2 linked regions of the Nothobranchius furzeri genome follow. The protein of the gene in region 1 purifies or fractionates together with the protein of each later gene. This does not show direct contact. Links are inferred from orthologs where the notes say so. Each region holds a gene or a part of one and is shown in the gene's direction. Other genes may lie near its edges. The genes, in order: trmt6 and trmt61a.

Region 1 (3,927 bases):
GCATTTTTTTTACATTCATTAGACAACTTTCTTTTAGGAAAATAGAAGAAACAAAACTAATCCTTACAGTGGTTTTAAATAACGTTACTTACACACATTACATTCATATTCTAAATAATCTCATTCTCCAAACAGTGAAGTGTAGTAAAAATGCAATATTTGTAAAACAGGCCATCTGTAATCTGTTGCTCTTCTGCGATTATGTGTTGGATGCATGTAAAATACAGTCTAATCCAGGGTGAACTACTGCCACAAAGTTCACTTTTCAAAACTCAGAGGTCTCCTTCCTTTGTTAAAGCTATGATTGTTTAGTATATCAAATTATTTCTAGCATGAAGCATACAAATAGTCCCTCAAAAACAAATTCAGTTTATAGGCCATTTTTTGTTATTTTGATAATTTTATTTAATTTTATCCACTTTTTTTACTGCACAGTAATATGCTTTTGGTATAAAACCCCAATTACAATTATTCCACACAAATTAGCAAACTATGTGTCTTATTTATTACAATTAGAAAACTGGCTCCATCGAATATTTGTGCAGATCAGGACATATTTAACCAGTGAATTTATCAGTCTTATATCTCAGCAAAAACCTTTTCTTTTACTTACAAGAAAAAAAATCATGTTTTTTTTTCATGATTAAAATCAAACACTTTTTTCTACAGATTTTCCTATTTCTTTCATTCCTGCAGTTTGTCTCCTACTCTGATAAGAAGGCAAAACAGTTCCATTAATGAAATAATTAGTGTTGACTTTAATTTTTATTTGAGTTTGTCACAAAACAATTGAAAACAAGTTTATTTGAAACATATGTTTACTATATACACTCACACAGATCACAGTGTTTTAAGTATCATAGGTTAGTCTTTTTAATGAGAAAGAAAACTCACACTTTTGTTTCGTTTGGGCTTTTTAAATTAGTTCTTATATTTTGTTATAAATCATTCACAAAAGAATAGTCACTATAAAAAGCCGTAGATTTTATTTATTTAACACTGTTCCCAATAATGCAGAACATTTTTTTTTATTTCCCATCTGATGTATCTCACAGGTTTACAATAATTTCAGTACAATGAGGCAGATCATATCAAGCATCGGCTGCGTTCGAGGTGAGCCAGTTCTGCGCAGATTAGATCACCGGTGATCGGCGAGCAGTGCATGCCGGTAACGCGATATCTTCAGCCATCGTCATCACCTCCGAGCTACAAATGTAGGGAAATCTGTCCGGTGTACTCCCCCTGCTGCTTCCGTCTGCTCTCTCAGTTTTCCAGGCGAGGCGCAGCTCAACTCGAACACGGCCGATATTGAGTCATTTGTGTATATTGACTGTATTGTTAACGAACCAATATCCTAAATAAAAAAAATAAAATAAAATAAAAATTCGAACACGGCCATCGTGAAGTTCCTCGTTTATCGATTTTTCTGAAATCTACAGTTGACTCACACTTTGCTCTTATTGGCTGGTTAATCGCTTTGACATTTTTCCAGCCAATCACAGGCGCGCTTACAGGATCATTGCTCTGAGATAAATCTGTTTTCGTTCAGTCATCCTGGGAGGCTAGGGAAAGAGTGCTAACACGTGTGTTAAACAACGTAAAGTATTTTCTAGTTCTCCAGAAGAAATTAGTGCCTTATCCTATCTTTGCCTCTATTTTTTATCTTTATTTTGCTGATATAAAGTTAACCGAACAGGATTGTTTTGAGCAGTTTATTATGGCTGAGAACGAAGACGATAATCAGTACAGAATCGAAGAGGGTGACAATGTTGTGTTAAAACGTGGAGACATTTATAAAGCTGTGCAAATTCAGCTAAAGAAGTAAGTAAAAACTTTAACCACGTAGATATAAATATGTGAATGTATTTTAATTTCAACTTGTTTGGTTATAGACGCTTATATAGTGTCTGTGCATAAATATGACGCTATTAAAAGGTCATTTACACACAGGAAGGTGATCTTTGAGAAGCAGTGGATATTTCTGGATAATGCAGTGGGACAGTTGTACAGCACCACGTTTGAGATTGTATCTGGAGGAAACCTGCAGCCAAAGGAGGACCGTAAGGAACAGGACACAGAAAGTCCTGCAGGTATAGCACCAATAATAACATTATAATAGGTATGATTCAAGATTTCTTCAGACAAAACTGTTAACATGTTGTTCTTTTTCAGGATTAACTGTGTACTCTGTGTTTGATTCTAGATGTAAAGGTGGCAGGTACGGACAACAGGAACATTGTTGATGACGGCAAATCACAGAAGCTGACCAGAGATGATATTGAGACGCTGAAAGAGCAAGGCCTGAAGGGTCAGGTACATTACTAACTTTAATCACAGATCCAGTCATGTGTCTGAAAGTGGCTGTGACTAAACGCCGCTTAGACAGACACATAAATCATGCAAAACCCAATTTATTATCGGTCAGCTCATTTGTAATTTAATTGTTTAGATTTAGACTTTTCTGCCTTTGCACATAGTTTAAAATGATTTAAAAGTTTCTTTTTTTATTTCTTTTTTTTTATATATATAGAAGTGCAGCGCATATGTTTGCTGGAAGAGAATTTTAGAATTTTCTTTTTGTTAAATTCTGCATTTGTAGTTTGGTAGAGTTTCAGATAAACGGCTCGCATTAAACGTGGTTAAAGTGTTAAAAGGAAGCCATGTCCTAGTTTCCTTGTTGTGCCCACCATTCTGGTATTTTACTTAAAGGGACATTATGGAAGTTTGACAGCCAAAACATGTATAGAAATAATAAATGTCTTCTTCATACATTCTCCTGCAATGCCCTGGTCCTGTAGAATGAGCCCTGGCATTTTTACTGTGATTGCCTGTTTTTCTGTAAAATCACAGAAAAAGAGAGATGCTCGGGTCGAGCAGGCTGCTTCATGCGCGTTCACGCTCAGGCATAGCCCGTAGCATTTGCTATCAGTAGCTTTAGCAGCAGAGAGAGAGGCAGTGCCACTTTGTCGCTGTTCCTAACGCCTAGTGACAAACTAGCTACATTTCTGAGGACCCTTAGCTACTTTCTGTAGAACTTTCTTCTAGATATTTCCTGCAAATTAGCAACAAAATAGCCATTTTCGCTTTGAACCGTTCTTTGGTTTGACGTTGTTTCAGCTGTCATCAAGGATATAAAAGTTACAGATACTGTGTATGTTACTAGAGTGTAGCTCACCTTGTAAGATGTCTGACTCTCATGCAGAAGACCTGGGTTTGATTCTGGGTGTGAACATGGAAGAAGAAGAAAATATCATTTCTAGAGCGCCTCAAGATAAAAATCACGAGGTGCTTCACGAAAACAAAAAATATAAACAAGCATTTAGAAAAAGTTTTAAAATATATTTAAAATGAGCAAAAATGGACAATTGTGATTAAAAATGTAAAGAGAGAGAGAGAGAGAAAAATCAGTGGATCCTGGGGAGTGCAGATTTTGGGGGGGGGGGGGGGTTGATGAGGTTACGCAAAAGCCTGCATTAATAGGTTCGGCTGCTTTTTAAAGGAGAGCACTGAGTCCACTGATCCCAGGCTCAGGGGTTCTAGAGTCTGTGCGTAGTCCAATGTCTCTAGGGAGCTTGCTGAAGAGGTTATGAGGTTCTGGACTTTTGCACGTGTCGTGCACAGGCGACCCAGCGACGCGACCCCAGAAAGTTGAATATTTCCAACTTTTCATCGCTGTCGCTCGGACGAGGACCAATCAACAAGAGGTTTCATTCACCGACCAATGAGTGGACAGGATGCTCTGAACATCTCCGAGCAAACATGGAGGAGAAGTTGATTATTATTATGTTTTATAGTAAAATCAGAAGTAAGATTTCACATAACTCTAGCAGCACCATATCTGCCGCTTTTTTAGCTCTGAACCGCTTAAATAACCTTAATTCCCTCCAACCTGACACAGCCAAACAAAACAACGGAAGTTTCGATTTC
Region 2 (2,619 bases), on another chromosome or scaffold:
TGGGGGGGGGGGCAGTTGGAGTCGCCCTGGTGTAGACATTCACTTCTCGTGTGTGTGTTGCTAAGAGAAGGGGTTTGCGTTGATTGGGGGGTTGTTGTGATGGTTACAAGACACGAAGCGCTCTTCAGCCACGCTGCCTTCTGGTCTTTCAGGACCTCTGGTGGATGACATCATCAGGAAGAGTTAAACTCTGAAGAGGAGGCAACACATGTATGGTTTAAAGGGACCTTTCAGTCGTTCTGAAGCATAAATACTCTGATCCTGAACAGCCGAGTTAGCAGAACTCTACAGGACCGACGAGCTAACCGCTAGTCTGGCTTGTTTATGAATTTCTGTGATTTTCTTTTATTTTGCACAATAAGAATAAATGTTTTGTAGATTTAAGCATTGAGATTTCACTCACCCAGGCTGTTAGCTCATCAGTTTTTTTTATATATGATATGAACTGTTTCTCCAAACAGAGGCTGTTCAGCTGTCGGCAACAGATATGAATTATTTATAACGCTTACACAGAAACACATTTGAACCCAAACCCGTGAATGCCAGCAGAGCAGTTTAGTGCGTTGTAGTCAGAACACAGAACCGTAATCGGGTCATAGTCCAGAGAGGCGGGATTGTGAAGGTTCATGACCTCCATCGCCCTGACGACACATCAGCTGGTTTCTGCTGTTGGAGCAGGAAACACACACACACACACACGTGGAGCCATCTTTGTTCTCGGGCTCTGAGCTGCAGGTTGTTCTTAAGCCTAGCTCTCCCCCTGCTCAGCCCCTCCGATCGCCCGGGGAGCCATCTGTTGAGCAGTTGCTGCAAACACCTCAGGGTGTCGTTGGAGATTAGAGGAGGTGGTCTGTAGGTTTATTAGACCACCGGCTCGTCTCCTGGTGAAACGGGAACCACCGGGTCTGTTCTCCTGAGGCTGTGATCGTGCTTATCTGCTCTGACCCAGTTTCATTGACAGTAGTTTCCCCAGAGTGAGATAAAATGTCCTTTTTCTTTGTTTGCTTCATCTGTTCTTCTGGTCCCACATGGGACATGCTGATGTAGACCTGACTGATCAGTAGAACCATGGTCTGACTCCCCCAGGATGTGCAGTGATGTCTGCTTTCTGTCTCCTGCAGGAGGTCACCTGTGCTCCTTCTCCCCATGCATAGAGCAGGTCCAGAGGACCTGTGAGGTTCTGGCGGATCAGGCCTTTGAGGAGATCAGCACCGTAGAGGTGCTTCTGAGGATCCACGACGTCCGGACCGTCTCGCTTCCTCTGCCCGACTTTGGGCCAGACCCCTCCTCTCAGACTGAACCCGGACCCGAGGAGGAGGCCCCTCCCACTCCTAGTGTAAACCACGCCTCCATCACCATGAAGACCACCACGCCACCAAGAGAAATGCCGGGTCACACGGGGTACCTCACATTTGCCACCAAACCCAGAACCTGAGGCTGGCCGAGTCGTTTGTTGCTTGCATCAAGCAGGAGGGAAAATGCGCCTGACAGCAGTTTAGTTTGTTTATAACTCAGATTATTGTTTCTGCTTCTGTGTCAGGATTAAAACTTGCTCTCATTTATGGGTGTTTTCGCTTCGAAACACCAAGAAAGAGTAAAATTGTGTTGATTTTGTTTAACAGCTGCTGTGTTGGGACGCTCACAGCGAACCCTTGTTCCTCTTGAAAGATTAAAGTAAAGCTGCAGCAGGACTGTGACTCGTGTCAAGCTTCTGTTTATGTGACCAGGTGAATTCTTCCTAATGGATTCTGGGCAGGGTTTCCTCCTGCAGCCCAACTAAATTGTGAAATTTGAAAATAAAACGTATTTCTTTTTTCACGATGAAGTCTGTGCTGGATCTAAAAGTATGAAACGCATCGTCTAATTCCTAAAGCAGCTGGTGTGTGTGAAAAAGCTCCGTTCATAGTTCTGGTCAAGCGTTTGCTGCCTCCTGAAGGCTGCTGATGTTTGTCTGAGAGGTCCTCCACAGACGGATCTGCTGAGAATTCCCACTCCTGTTTTTGATCCGGTGAGTCTGGAAGCTGCAGTTTGTCTCCGGAGTTTCCAGAATCGGATCCTGTTTCTGGTGGGAAAGCGGGATAGCTGCCCTGTGGGTTAGGAACGCGCGGTTCCTGACTCCAACCTGCTTGTTCTGGTGTGGACCGGGTCAGCTGATGCTGCTCGGATTCACTTATCAGATACATTTCATTCGAGTCACTGAAGGAGTGTTTATTTGAACAGCCTCAGTCTGGAGACGAGGAGATCGGTTGTGATCAAACCGATACGCTAACAGCCAATCAGCTGGGTTATAAAGCATCTTAATTCAAATCCTAATCTTTTGTTTGTTTCTCAAATAAACTCCATTTGTTAAAAATGTATATTTGATCTGCTCCTAAAAGCTGTTTGTTTTCAGCCTCTAGTCACCAAGTCTCGTCGCTGATTTGACGACGTTCGCTCCACTCTGGTCTGAGGACCAGAAGAGTTTTAATCTGGTTGTCCGAGGCTCGGAATAGCAGTCCTGAGCTGCTGGAAATCCCACTGCCTAATCAGCTTGACCTCTGAACTCCTGAAGCAAGTGCTGGAGCTGGGCAAACGTCCAGATCACAACCTGGCTTAGAGAGGAACGCTGCACGAGACGAC

What was found.
Region 2: the proteins of trmt6 (region 1) and trmt61a purify together in Homo sapiens (affinity purification with mass spectrometry; 4 studies listed by BioGRID and IntAct, counting the BioPlex papers as one, with this or other methods). This does not show direct contact. The link is inferred for Nothobranchius furzeri from reciprocal best matches to the Homo sapiens genes TRMT6 and TRMT61A.

What each region holds. Positions count from the first base shown.
Region 1 is NC_091742.1:22,627,076-22,631,002, reverse strand, and holds the start of trmt6 (tRNA (adenine(58)-N(1))-methyltransferase non-catalytic subunit TRM6), read left to right. Parts: upstream 1-1,543; 5' UTR 1,544-1,717; coding exon 1,718-1,821; intron 1,822-1,950; coding exon 1,951-2,090; intron 2,091-2,203; coding exon 2,204-2,313; intron 2,314-3,927. UniProt on the Homo sapiens protein: Substrate-binding subunit of tRNA (adenine-N(1)-)-methyltransferase, which catalyzes the formation of N(1)-methyladenine at position 58 (m1A58) in initiator methionyl-tRNA.
Region 2 is NC_091758.1:10,828,752-10,831,370, forward strand, and holds the end of trmt61a (tRNA (adenine(58)-N(1))-methyltransferase catalytic subunit TRMT61A), read left to right. Parts: intron 1-1,121; coding exon 1,122-1,435; 3' UTR 1,436-1,818; downstream 1,819-2,619. UniProt on the Homo sapiens protein: Catalytic subunit of tRNA (adenine-N(1)-)-methyltransferase, which catalyzes the formation of N(1)-methyladenine at position 58 (m1A58) in initiator methionyl-tRNA.